Caenorhabditis elegans: one gene and its partner. The protein of the gene in region 1 interacts with the protein of each later gene in a pairwise test. Each region holds a gene or a part of one and is shown in the gene's direction. Other genes may lie near its edges. The genes, in order: dot-1.1 and zfp-1.

The links.
Region 2: the proteins of dot-1.1 (region 1) and zfp-1 interact in binary tests that used the Caenorhabditis elegans proteins (3 or more experiments, as listed by UniProt).

Annotation. Positions count from the first base shown.
Region 1 is NC_003279.8:2,397,473-2,404,762, reverse strand, and holds the start of dot-1.1 (Histone-lysine N-methyltransferase, H3 lysine-79 specific), read left to right. Parts: upstream 1-3,270; 5' UTR 3,271-3,274; coding exon 3,275-3,305; intron 3,306-3,354; coding exon 3,355-3,553; intron 3,554-3,624; coding exon 3,625-3,754; intron 3,755-3,994; coding exon 3,995-4,147; intron 4,148-5,372; coding exon 5,373-5,581; intron 5,582-6,827; coding exon 6,828-7,034; intron 7,035-7,083; coding exon 7,084-7,127; intron 7,128-7,290. Other genes in the region: zwl-1 (Protein zwilch homolog), read right to left, coding at 1-118, 1,325-1,418, 1,468-1,747, 2,439-2,528. UniProt on the Caenorhabditis elegans protein: Histone methyltransferase, which in complex with zfp-1, methylates 'Lys-79' of histone H3 to activate transcription.
Region 2 is NC_003281.10:8,795,156-8,802,412, forward strand, and holds the start of zfp-1 (Zinc finger protein zfp-1), read left to right. Parts: upstream 1-3,242; 5' UTR 3,243-3,309; intron 3,310-3,377; 5' UTR 3,378-3,399; coding exon 3,400-3,508; intron 3,509-3,703; coding exon 3,704-3,959; intron 3,960-4,239; coding exon 4,240-4,330; intron 4,331-4,377; exon of another isoform or gene 4,378-4,379; coding exon 4,380-4,490; intron 4,491-5,330; coding exon of another isoform or gene 5,331-5,546; intron 5,547-7,257. Other genes in the region: F54F2.6 (uncharacterized protein), read right to left, coding at 5,331-5,546. UniProt on the Caenorhabditis elegans protein: Recruits the histone methyltransferase dot-1.1 to chromatin to methylate 'Lys-79' of histone H3 and activate transcription. Recognizes and binds histone H3 methylated at 'Lys-4' (H3K4me) at the promoters of target genes.

The DNA of each region.
Region 1 (7,290 bases):
ATTGGTGCGGCCGGCGGCGAGCCAGCAAATCGATGGGAATTTCGAGCTGGTCGTGGAGATCCACACGGGCAGTGTCGAGATTGACGGCGAAAAATGCTCGGAGCAGTTGAGGCGGATGCTGAATTTTTTCGAATTTTTTTTGGTGAATATTTAATTAGTTAAAGGTGAAGTGCGCCCAAAATTTTCCTGATTTTATATGATTTTTTTTTTGAAAATTGAAAAAATCGCAGTTTTCCCAAAAAATTCCTATTAGAATTTTCGCGAATTGGATTCTTTCGGTGGAGCGCGCTTGCATTATTTTTCTCATTTTTCTCATTTTTTTTTCATTATTTGTGCATTCTCATTGGAAAAAGAGAGAAAAATGCAAATTGTTCATTAAAAAAATCACTGAAAATGGGTACAGAGCCGAAAATTAGCCTATTTCACAGTTTTACGCAGTTTCAGTGATTTTTTAATGAAAAATTCACATTTATCTTGCATTTTTCTCTCTTTTTTCAATGAAAATACACAGATAATGAAGAAAATCAGTGAAAAATTGAGAAAAAAAAATAATGCAAGCGCGCTCCACCGAACGAATCCAATTGGCGGAAAACTGAGATTTTTGCAATTTTCAAAAAAAAATCATATAAAATTTAGAAAAATTTTTTTATCATGATATATATATGATTAAAAAATGCAAAAAAATTTTCTAGATTTTATATGATTTTTTTTTGAAAATTGCAAAAATCTCAGTTCGAATTTCCGCCAATTGGATTTGTTCGGTGGAGCGCACTTGCATTATTTTTATTAATTAACTTTATTTATTCTCGTTATTTGACCGATTTTCTTCATTTTCTATGTTTTTTCCTCGGAAAATGGAAGAAATGAACAAGACAAATGCAAAATGTTTGTTAAAAAGTAATTGAAAATGAGTAAAACTGTGAAATATACTAGTTTCAGGCTTGTCGTCGTCGGATCGCATATTTTCAGAGTTTTATGCATTTTCAGTTACTTTTTAATAAAAATTTTGCATTTTTCTTGTTTATTTCTTTCATTTTCCGAGGAACAAACATAGAAAATGAAGAAAATCGGTGAAATAACGAGAATAAATAAAATAAATAAATAAAAATAATGCAAGTGCGCTCCACCGAACGAATCCAATTGGCGGAAATTCAAAGCGGAATTAGGGGGAAAACTGAGATTTTTTCAATTTTCAAAAAATCATATAAAATCTAGAAAATTTTTTTGAATTTTTTTATCATGATATTCGGTCCTTGTGACCTCATAGGAATGTTTCAAAGCAATTTCTCCGCTGGCGCTACTCCAGAAAACATAAATTTATTACTATCTCTGAAGAGACACCCCGTCCGAGAGTGGAATTGGATTTGCATCAAAGAAGCTGGTTTCACACTCGTATCCAATGATTTCCACGTCGCCAACTGTAAAATCTGGGGGTTTTTCAGCATAAAAACAGCATTTTCAACCTACCCATTCCTTTTCTCAATTTTTCCAAAGTGAGAAATGACGTCATAAGTGGTCCACCTTCATTCACATTTTCTTTATCCTCAAAACTATCTTCCATTGGCTCAATTTTCTTTTTGAAAATCATCTTTTTCTCCGCTTTTCCTGCTCCTGATCCTGTTCCCTTGGATGGAAAATCAACGACAAGAACATCTTCAGAGCTCAGAGAAAGCTGGGAAACGCTCGAATGATTCATCACGAAGGGAATCGACGTGAGCGGGAGCACGCGGACACGGTACTTGTCGAGCTGAAAAATTTAGATTTTGAAATTTTAAAATTTGAGTTAAAGGGGGAGTAGAGTTTGTGGGTATTTTACTCAAATAGACTAAAACTGGACCAAAACCACCGAATTTCATAATGAGACTTCACAAAAAATTTCCAAAACTTTTTTATGGCGGGTTAATAAAATTTCGAAAAAATAAAGCCAAATTTTGCTAAAATCTGAAATTTCGCACACTTTTCTTTGTCACAACCGCTGAATTTTAATTTTTCTAAAGTTATCACCCTTTAATCCTTATTTTGGTAATTTATCTCGCGAAAATTCGTTGATTGAGACAACTTTTAAGCCGATAGGCTTAAAAGTTGAGTAGGCATCCAATTTTGATCATTTTTGGATGCCTATCGGCCTAAAAGTTTTCTCAATCAACGAATTTCCGCGACATAAATTACCAAAAGAAGAATTAAAGGGTGATAATTTCAGAAAAACTAAAATCAAGCGGCTGTGAGACAAAGAAAAGTATGCGAAATTTCGGATTTTAGCAAAATTTGGCTCTTTTTTCGAAATTTTGGCCCGCCATAAAAATGTTTTGGAAATTTTTTGTGAAGTCTCGTTATGAAATTCGGTGGTTTTGGACCAGTTTTAGTCTATTTAAGCAAAATACCCACAAACCCCACTCCCCCTTCAAACGAAGAATTCTAGAATTTTGGGGGAAAATTACCAGGAGAACCGGTGCCGGGGCGTCGTCCTCTTCGCCTTTTGCGGCCATTTTTTCATTATATTGCTTGAGCTGCTCGATGGTGAGTGGCATTTTCTGGGAAATGAAATTTTGAAAAAAAAAAGAAGAGAATTTTCTGAAAAAACGTGAAAAAAAACATTTTTTCACTGATTTTCTTCATTATTTGTGTATTTTCATCGGCAAAAAGAGAGAAAAATGCGAGATAAATGTGAATTTTTCATTGAAAAATCACTGAAAATGGGTAAAACTGTAATATTATGAGTTCCGACGACAACAAGCCGGAAATTAGCTATTTTCAGTGATTTTTTAATGAAAAATTCACATTTATCTTGCATTTTTCTCTCTTTTTGCGATGAAAATACACAAATAATGAAGAAAATCAGTGAAATAAGGAGAAAAATAAAATAAATTAATAACAATTTAATTTCCGGCTTGTTGTCGTCGGAACTCATAATTTTACAGTTTTATCCGTTTTTAGTGATTTTTTAATGAAAAATTTACATTTATCTTGCATTTTTCTCTTTTTTTCCGAATAAAAAAACCCAAAAAATTAAGAAAATCTGTGAAAAAATGAGAAAAATAAAGTAAATTGTTTTGTTTTCGCGCCACTTAAGTGCACTTCCTGTGCAAACACTTCCACGTACTTTTGCGTACTCTGCAAGCGCGCCCCACTGCACTCCTTATCGACCCACCAATTTTTCCAATAAAAAAGACTTTCTGATTGGATTTTTTCTCAATTTTTGTTTTAAAATCAAAGAAATTAATGAAAATTAATTAATAACACATTATAATTTTTAAAAAATCCATTTTTCAGCAGGATGTCGGAGGCAGACGCCGGCGCGAGGGATGGTGAGAAAATTAAGATAAAAAATTCAAAAAAATCAAAGAAAAATTGCAGAATCACCATCAAGGACAGCGGAAGAGCCGGCTGCTGCAATGAGAATCAAAGAAGAACGGAGAAGTTCTTCGGTAGACGTAGTCGACGTAGGAAACGGCGAATTATTAGTGCTTCACTCGATTTTTTATCAAGGAAAGACGCTTCGTCTGCCGGGTAATAGAGCTCACATGTATCCCGTTGTCTTTCAAATGATTAAAGGGTGAGAAAAAATCGATTTATAAATATATATATATATATATAATTAATTTCTGATCATTTTTCCATTTTCAGCGTGTGCTCCCTAGTTAAACAATTGGTGGTCGCTTTCCCGAAGGGCTGGGACCAAAATACTCCGTCAATTAGTGAAATTGCGGCTCTGACGAAGAGTTTTAATCGTGTCGCCAAGCCATTTGCTTCGAATGTGAGCTTTTTTGGCGTTTATAAAATCCAAAAAAGGCGGAAAAAATAACTTTTTTTTGGCGTTTAAAAATCCAAAAAAACCGGAAAAAATAGCTTTTTTTTGGCGTTTATAAAATCCAAAAAAGGCGGAAAAAATCGAATAAAAATGAAAAATTCGTGTTTTTTCTTCCTTTTCTTGGATTTTTTTAAACCAAAATCCGCAAAATTTGCAAAAATTAATTAATTAACTATTTAATTTCAGTGGAGCGGGTCGTACAACACAGATACGCTGAAAGAGTGGGGAGAGCCAAATTGCTCGGCAGAAGTGGCAAAAGCCATCACAACGTACGCCTACGAGTGTGCAGTTCCACGGCCAGCAGATCTCAATCAACATTACAAAAGTTTCACGTCCGAGGTGAGGCGTTTTCCTGGAAAATTCATATTTTATGGAAAAAAGCTGATAGTTTCGGGATTTTTATTCAAAAATCGGTTTTTCCTTAGAAATAAGCCTGAAAATTTATATTTTCTAAAAGCCAAATAATTTAGGCATTTTAACTTAAAAATTCATCAAAAATCCTATTTTTATCGAAAAAAAGTCAATAATTTCGCTAAAAATCGGCTTGAAAACGATTAGTTTCGGGATTATTACTCAAAAATCAGCCCGAAAATCCATATTTTTATCGAAAAAATCCCATAATTCTGCATAAAATCGGCCTAAACGCGATTAATTTCGAGATTTTGACTCAAAAAATCATGGAAAATCCATATTTTTATCGAAAAAAGCCAGAAATTTCGCGGAAAATCGTCTTTTCAAAGATTTTTTCGCCCAAAAAGACAGAAAAATCTCACTTCACCTTAAAAAATTATATAAATATTTCAATTTTGCAGAAAAAAATTGAAAAGTGCCGAATCAATCTATTTTTTCACATTTTCAGACGCTTTTCCTTCTAAAATTAGCCTAAAAATCGATATTTTAACATTTATTTGAGCTTTTTTTGGCGAAAAAATCAAGAAAAACGATTTTTTTGATTATAAATTACCCAGAAAATCCCTGTTTTTAATGAAAAATTGGCCTGAAAACGATGAAAAATGTCAAAAAACGCCAAAAAAACCTATAAAATCCAATTTATTTATTTTTTGATTAAAAAAAACTAATTTTCCCTATAAATTATCCTGAAAATCCCTATTTTTAATCAAAAATCGGCCTGAAAACGATGAAAAATGTCAAAAAATGCCAAAAAAACATAGAAAATCCAATTTATTTATTTTTGATTAAATAAATTAATTTTCCCTATAAATTACCCAGAAAAACCCTGTTTTTAACCAAAAATCGGCCTGAAAACGATGAAAAATGTCAAAAAACGCCAAAAAAACCTATAAAATCCAATTTATTTATTTTTTGATTAAAAAAAACTAATTTTCCCTATAAATTATCCTGAAAATCCCTATTTTTAATCAAAAATCGGCCTGAAAACGATGAAAAATGTCAAAAAATGCCAAAAAAACATAGAAAATCCAATTCATTTATTTTTTGATTAAATAAATTAATTTTCCCTATAAATTATCCTGAAAATCCCTATTTTTAATCAAAAATCGGCCTGAAAACGATGAAAAATGTCAAAAATCCCATTAATTTTCAGACTTATGGAGAAACAAATCCCGAACAATTGATCAGCATAATCGATGAGCTCAACATTGGACCACAGGACGTTTTCGTTGATTTAGGCAGTGGAATCGGTCAGCTCGTATGCCTGACGGCTGCCTACGCGAAATGCAAAAAATCCGTTGGAATTGAGCTTTCGCAAGTTCCTTCGAATTTTGCACAAGATCTTGCCGGTTATTTTAAAAAGTATGAAATATGCCCTTTTTTTTGCGAAAAAAAGCAATTTGATACTGAAAAATTGGAAAAATCGGGTTTTTTCGGTGTTTTGGCAGAATTTTTAAATTTTTCGTGTTTTTTCAACAATTTTGACATTAAAATTGAATTTACCTGGTAATTTTCTGATTTTAAGCGAAATAATTTAGTAGTTGAAGTAATAACGTTTCAGAGAACGTAGAAAACTGACTTTTTACTCAAAAATCGATTTTGGAAGCCATTTTTGGCCAAAATTGAGCATTTTTTCATAAAATAAAAGAGAAATCCCCTCTATTTCATAAAAAATGCTAATTTTTGACAAAAAATGACTTCAAAAACCGATTTTTGAGTAAAATTCGGTTTTATACGATCTCTGAAACGTTATTTATTTAATTAATTAATTATTTCGCTCAAAATCAGCAAATTAACTGGTAATTTCAATTTTTGTGTTAAAATTGTTTAAAAAACTCGAAAAAAGTTTTAAATTCCCGCCAAAACACAAAAAAAGCCTAATTTATTGCGAAACCTGCGAAAAAATTTAGCAAAAATAGGTTTTTCCAGATTTACGAAGTTTTTAACCGCTTTTTAAAATTTTTACAACAATTTGACACTGAAAAAATTGAAATTACCATGTAATTTTTTGATTTTAACCGAAAAAATAAAAGACTTGGAAAAATAACGTTTCAGAGAGCGTATAAAATTGAATTTTTACTCAAAAATCGATTTTGGAAGCCAATATTTTGTTAAAAACTAGCCCTTTTTTATATAATAAAGGAAAAATGCTAATTTTTGACAAAAAAAATGGCTTCCAAAATCGATTTTTGAGTAAAAAATTCAGTTTTTTACGTTCTCTGAAACGTTATTTAATTAATTAATTAATTATTTTGCCTAAAACCGGAAAATTAACTGGTAATTCCAATATTTGTGTTAAAATTGTTTGAAAAACTCGAAAAAGGTTTGAAATTTCCGTCAAAACACCGGAAAAATGCCTAATTTATTGCGAAAACTGTTAAAATTTAGCAAAAATAAGTGTTTTCCAGATTTACAAAGTTTTTTAACCGCTTTTTAAAGAATATTTGCAACAATTTTTATTCAAAAATTGATTTTGGAAGCCATTTTTTGGCCAAAATTTAGCATTTTTCAAGTTTTCAGTGTCAATTTGTTGAAAAAAACGCTGAATTTTCCAATTTTTCACAAAAAAAAACTGTCAAAATCCAGAAAAAAGTCAGTTTTTTTCCAGATTTATGAGCCATTTTGGAAAAAATCACGGAAAATTCGAGCATATTCAAGGCGATTTTTTGAATCCGAAATTCAAACAACTAATTTGTGAGGAGGCTACCGTCATTTTCATCAACAATTTCGCGTTTGACGCCGCGCTGATGCTCCGAATTAATACTGAGCTGCTCCAGGACTTGAAGCACGGCACTCGAATTGTTACGACGAAAGAGTAGGGATTTTTTATGGGAATTTTCAGTGAAAAAATGGATTTTTTGCAGGCTTGGAACCAATAAAAAGGAGATTACATTCCGCTCAACAAGTGGTATGTTTGGAAATGGAAAATTGAGAAATGCGGAGGAATTTCAGTGAAAAATTGAAGAAAAAACAGAGAAAATCGAAAAATCGGCGAAAAAAACTTCATAAAATGAATAAAAATTCAATTTTTAAAAATAAAGTTTCCTAAAAAAAAACTCGACGCTACTCCA
Region 2 (7,257 bases), on another chromosome or scaffold:
ATGTATTCAATAACCTTGAAAGTTTGTACGTTTCCAGGAATATGAGTCATTTTTAAAAATAATTCTTATCAGTTTTGAGTCCTGCGTTTATATAATAAACGGCACGTCGAACATTGGAAATTGCTGTTGAAAAAGTCGATTTTTTTTGGTGAATTGCCACAAACAGTGAATCTTTTTTGTCAATTCCTATACAATGTAGACATGAACATAAGAATCAGAGAGAATCGAAAGGAAATATTTCTTATTAATTATCTGCTTTTCATTTTTACAATAGAATAGATTTTCTGAAAGTTTAATTCGAATTAAGAGAGCACATAACGAAACGAATATTCAAAATATTACTGAATACAATATGTTTCAACTGAAAGACCCTCAAAAAGGAAACGCTGGTCCCCAGATGAACAACACTCAGAGACGATGTTGGTGAGAAAGTGAGCAGGATCTGCTCCCACTGCTTTTGCTCATCGAACACCGCGAGTTTCCTCTACATTCTAAGTCTAACACTCTTACTATGTCCAATCGATGAAGAAAAGACGACCCCAAGAGGGAAAGACGGATTCTTTTGAGGTGTGTGTGGCTGTGTGTTGGAAGTGGGAGGGAGATGGATAGATAGTCGGAGGGATCAGACGCGAAAGTAATCTACGTCTCCGTATCCCTCGCCAGTTGAATAGCCGGTCACATCGGACATACGCGAGTGCGACCCGACGACAAAAGAGAAATAGAACAGCCTGAAGAGGTGTTAGAGAAATAGAGAAACGCGAAGAGGGGTTCGCATGAGAGACATAGAGAAGCTATGGTAGTAGAGAGACCCCCACTAGGGTCTGCTGCATCCCGTCTTCGTCCTCGTCCTCCTCTTCTCCTCTCTGTTCTGTTCTTTTTGCCTCGTCGCGTGTATGTATGCATTCAGCAGTCAGTCTGCATCTATCCATACTCTCAACCACAGCTGGGACACACTCAATCAAAAGTTACACTTGTTTTTCGCCTCTCCATCTACTTCTCGCTTTTCCCAGTCAAGTCTTGTTTTTCCTTCTGTTTTTCCACTTTTTTCCTTCCACGGACGTCGTCGTCATTCTCATTTCTCGTTTTGTCGATGTTGTTCGAGGCTTTATTCGGTCTAAATCCGATCGATATGTGATGGGTCAAGTGTCAGGTGCTCAGCGCCTTGTCGCCCCACAAAGAAAAAGACAAACCGTGTTGTCGCTGTCCGAGACATTTGTGCCGATTTTCTGTTCCTTTCGGCTACTATCGTCAGTCTGACGACCCAATTTTTTCTGGTCTCTGACACTTATTGTCATTATGAACACCTTTTAGATATCTTCAGTGAGGAAATTGTCGGAAAATTAATATAATTTCTATGGTTTTTCATTATTAATTTTTATAGTCAAATTTAGAAAACAAATCCTCGATAAAATTTATTTATTTATTTTTGATTCATCAAAAAAGAATTTTTAGCCTTGAAAAATGTTTAAAAACCAGTGAAGTTCTATTAATAAATTCTCTTGCTTCTTAAATTTTTTTTTTTAATTTTAAAAACTTTTTGTTAAAGATGTTAATTTTCTGTAGAAATTTTTATTTCACACAATAACCATTAGTTAAATTAAATTTATAACTGTTCCCCAAGTGGTTTTAAAAAATCAATAAAATGATTTCTTGACTATCGTAATCCTTCGTGACCCCTCTGTAGAGATTTTCTTGTGTTATGCAAGTACCCCATCGTAAATTTTCTTTTCTCGATACCCGAAGTATATCCGATCACATCTGTGTCTATGATGATACTGATTACTTTTCCATTTATATTTATCACCTTGACCGTTAATTTTCAATATTTAATTTTTCAATGACAATACAATGTTAATTTTTATAAGGTTATGTGGTAGAAAATGTTAGGCGAGGTTTAGAGAAAAATATAAAAGTTTATTAACTTTATTTCGCCCTTGGACGATTTTTTAAGCATCCAAATGACTCTTTTCATTTAAATTTTTATATTTTCCGATCCGTATATTATTTTCTTTTCAACTAATTTTATTAAAACATACGGCTATATGAAATAAAGCACTGGAACGCAGAAAGTTAGAGAGAAAAGGAGCAAAGCTTCCCCTTCTTGTTTGTATGTATGTGCTCCTTGTGTGCATGTGACATAGAAGAGCCGACGTCGCTGCGCCCCTGTGAGAATTCATGCATGCTTGGCACGATGCCAAGTTGTATGTGTCTATCTTCACCTCCTTTTTCTTCTTCTTCTCGATTGCTTCTCCCTCTCTTCCAAACGAGAACGTGATGTCGGTCTCTCCTACTGTAGGCTACTAGTTGTCTGTGTCTAATACTCTCTCATTGTCAAAGACTTCAAATCGGGAAGATTGTGATGGTGGTTTGGTGACGAGAGAGAGATAGAGAGAGAGAGAGAAAGACACTGACGATGTCGTCGTTATCAGTGTATTTCTTCTTCTTCCTTTTCTTCCATACACAATCTGTAATTCTCTGTCGTTCTCTCAATTTGATTATCACTATTAAATGTATATTCATTCATTCACGCCCATAACTTTTTTGACTTGACTGAATCGAAAATCGAATCGATGGCCGCTCCCCGATAATAAGAAGGAGAGAGAAAAGAGAGACGCTGCAAAAATTTTTTGTCTTTGAATGACCTCTATTCGTCGTATTGATTGACTGCTGCCGTTTGTCTTTTGTGACGAAATTTTGTACAGTTCCATTTTCTTTTATTTCAAAAATTGAGAGAAAAATATCTAATGCTCGGCGTTAAATTTTCAATGAAAAATTTGTTCACTCAAATTGGCCCGAAAAGTCCGAAATTCATAACGAAACTTTTCAATAATTCCTCAAACTTTTTTATAGCAGTTTTACCTAAAATTCTAAATTTTGAAGAATTAGCCTTTATGCAAAATTTTGAATGGCCATAAAAGATTTTTCAATGAATTTCTGAAGAGTTTCGTAATTTGATATTTGATATTTTCAAATGGATTTTTAGTGTATTTTATAAAGCAAAACATTCTTCAATTTATTTTGTTTTCCGAATCTAATATTTAAATATCTCTATGAAACTTTAATACTATTTTTGATACGCATTCAATTATAGATAATTGTTAAACGTTCTTTTTTCTCCGAAATTAGGTTATTTCTATTTGTTCTGTTTCTTTATTTGTCGCTCGGCCATAATAAATCAATAATTTACGGCAATATACCTCTAATCTCCCCTTTTCTGCGTAATTTTTACCGAATTTTTACAGCACATCACCATACAAATGAGCCACGCCTGACCTCTTGACCAGCTACAGTAACCCAAAAAAAATTATCGTAAGTTTTTTCGAATTTTTGTGGAAAATTTGTGAATTGTATTCTCAAATGGATAATTATTTTTACAGAGTCCCCCGAAATTGCTGAAAAATGAAGGAGATGGTAGGTGGATGCTGCGTTTGTGCAGATGAGAATGGTTGGACAGACAATCCATTGATCTATTGTGATGGAGAGAATTGTGAAGTTGCAGTACATCAGGGTGAGTAGAAGTTCACAGAAATTGAAAAATTTTAGTATTTTTCCCGATATTTCGAAAAAAAATCCAACGTTTCCAAGCATTGTTTGAAGTTTTGCTTTTTTCCATCTTATTAGATGAATTTGATTTTTTTTTTTCGATTTTCTCTCAAAAAACCAAATTTTCCGATTAGGCCCCACCGAATTTTTATCATTTCAGGATGTTATGGAATTCAAGAAGTACCCGAAGGCGAATGGTTTTGTGCAAAATGTACGAAAGCATCAGCTATGATGCCCGGCAGTATAAATGAGGCAACATTTTGTTGTCAATTGTGTCCGTTTGACTATGGAGCATTGAAAAAAACTGATCGAAACGGATGGGCTCATGTAATTTGTGCACTTTACATTCCAGAAGTGCGATTTGGGAACGTACATAGTATGGAACCAGTCATATTAAATGATGTACCAACTGATAAGTAAGTTTTTCTCAAGAATATGGGTAATTCAATATGAAAAATGTGTCTGATCAAGGGTGAATATTTTTTGAGTTTTCGACTTTCGATTTTTTGACTCTCTGGAAAATCTCAAATTTTAAAAATTTCCGGTACATTTCTGAACCGAAATTTTTTTTCCAGTTTTTCGATTTTTCGACTTTCAAAAAAAAAACAACAACAAAAAATCTAAACATTTTAAACTCTTTCTTTGAAAAAATCTTGAAGTTTTATTACTATCTCGATCAATTTATATATTTTATAGATTCAATAAACTGTGCTACATCTGCAATGAAGAACGTCCAAATGATGCGAAAAAAGGTGCATGTATGTCGTGTAACAAGTCGACGTGCAAGGTATTTTTATTTTTCTTTAAATTTCTTGTAATTTAAACGAAATTTTCAGAGGAGCTTTCACGTAACCTGTGCTCAGCGGAAAGGACTTTTATGTGAAGAAGGGGCAATAAGTCGGAATGTCAAGTATTGTGGTTATTGTGAAAATCATTTGAAGAAAGCGGTATGTTTATTGAAGATTTATGCGCTAAAAATTGAGAAAAAAGTATTAAAATCGATTTCTTAATATTTTAAGAAAATCAGGCCAGATTATCACTTGGTTTTTCATAGAAGTGAAAATAAAAATAGAACTACAGTACCCATCAATTTCAAATATTTAATCCCTAGTCATACTGGTGCTGTGAAGGTCCGATGCTTGATAGACCAGGTGGATAGACACCTGTCTCTTGAAAAACTAGAGATTGTACGGAGTATTAGAGATTCAGAGAAGTAAAAATATGAATACAATCGTGTGTGCCCGCTTCTTCTCTGCATCTCTTCTCAGGATACTCTATTTCTGAGTCACAGCATTGGGACCCTGGAATAGCAACACAGCCATTGCGCTTCACTCTTAGAGTGAAAGAGATAGAGATGGAGAAAGAGACGTCCTCCGTCCTGTTTTCATATCTGCGTCTAAAATCTCTTTATCCTGAGAAAAAGAAACCGAAAGAGAGGTTGAGAGAGAGAGGGAGACATTGTCGAAGGAGGTCCGCGTGCTTCCACATACACATACACACACCATCCATTCAACACAACACACTTGAGAAGATGGAATAGACGAGAGAAGAGAGTACAGACGTTTAGACGAAATGAAATGGGTTGGGCCAACGGCTGGCTGGATGGATGGCTGACTGAGTGTGACAACGACAAATAGTGCTCGGGGGGGGGGGGGGCACTGAGAGAGATAGACGAAGAACTCGGAGAGACATAGACACAAAAAGGAACAAATTGCTGTCGGGCCAAGCGAGTTTGGAAGAGAAAGAGACGTGCATAGAGTGTCTCTCTCTCTCTCAATTTCATAAGCTTAGATGATTCTCTGCGTCTGCTCTTCGCCGCCCCTTCTGGACTTCTTTTTCTCGGGTGGCCCCCGGCGGCCGTTGTTTCGTCTGCGCTTCTTATTTTCCTCTTTATCGTCATCGTCGTATTCCTCGCTTTGTCCTGCTTTTTCGTTTTCTCCGTCCGTACGCACACATACATACACACGCACATAGTGAGGCAACATCATTCTCTTGTGCTTCATTTGGTTCTTCTTCGACGAATACTCGATAGATTTGAATATAGTCGTCGCCACGTCATACTCTACATTTTCCTGCTACATCATCCTTGCATCTCCCCACTTTCTCACTTGTTACGGTTTTTGCTTAACTCTCTACGTCTCTACTCACTCTCTCACCTACTTTCCTCTTCTCGTTGTGTTTGATGTCACCTTTCTCATCGTCTTCCGTCAATGGAGTTTTTTTGTCGCCAAAGAGAGACATTCACTCATTTTCTCTTCCGTCTCCCTGAAGTAGTTCTATGTTCTTTTTTTTTTTTTTCTAGACTTTGTCATTTAACATTTTTGTTTTACATTTTGGTACATTCACAGAATTATTTCTAAATCTAAATTAAACTTTTGATCTTGAAAGTAGGCCTATCATATAGGCCTCACCGCCTGCCTGCCTCACCTTAAGACGATCTTCGCCTGTTTCCAACTAAGTTGAATGTCTTGATTGTTCTCGGGGGTTGTCAAATTTTTGATGTTATTCTAATTCACCTAATTTAAATTAAACGGTAACAAATATCATAAAACCCTTTAGTTTTTTTTGAAAAAGTCTAATAATCTTTATTAGTTCTTTTTACTAATGAGGACGCTGCAAATTTTTGTTTTTTTTTTCAAAATTCAGCACAAACTTTTCCAAAACACTGAGCAATGTTTTGTTCCGTCTCTTTTCAATATCTAAGTCTCCCTTTAGCTGGTCTCTACACTTCTCCGAATATCTTCAACTTCTAAGTCTATCAATCATGGGATCCTTCATTGTTGTCTTACTTCCGCGCACCTCTCAACCCGGTAGACATTTTTGTATCGTACTGATCAAATGCAGGCAAAGGAGGAGAAGTGGGCGCCCAGGCGCTGGGTCGACCGGCGGTGGCCATTGTCGTCGCGTCGTCGTTGATGTCCTTCGCAGGATCGTCGCCGATTCGATTCGTTTTCTCTCTCCACCTCCTCCTCCGCACAGGCACACACACACACACAAGTTTTCGTTTTTTCGGAGTGCTGGTAGTGGTTTTACTCGCTTCCTATCCTTCACTTGTTACCCCTGTCGCCTCTGTTGATTGCACTCCCTTCGTTTTTCCCGTTGCAATCATCCGATCGGAGGACTCTTCGATGTTTGTCTGCATGTCTGATCACTCTTCCGATCAAATGATGCCTTAGGCATCCTTGTCGTGTCGCCGCGCTCTCACTTGTTTCCACCCTCTTTCTATTGCCGTGTCGATTCGATGACTGGTGAATGATCGGTGTCCTCTGCCTGGCCCCGAGACGGCGATGCTGTGGCTGCGACTGCTGCTGTGTGTTTCTCATTTTTGTGACTGAAGGCTTTGTGTGTGTACGTGTCTCTACGCGCATAGATGTGTGTATGTCTCCAAAGCAGCAAAATGCTTAAGACTCTGCGTCTCTTTTGCGCAATCGAGACGAAGAAACCTTGGAGAATCAGACGACGATAAGGAATGAGGATATGAAGAGAGAAAGACAGTTAGAAGAAGAGAGAGTGACGTGCACAATGAGAGAAAGAGAGAAACATTCAATCAGCCTGTGGAGGGTGGCTGGTGGTCGGTCATACACTCTCATACGCATAGTCATTCACAACATTGGGCGCACGGTTTTGTTGGCTTGCTGCCAATAATAACTTTAGTGAAAGAGATGTAGAGAAGAGAAGAATAGAAATCGCCCGATTTTGTCGTTTTTCAAAGTT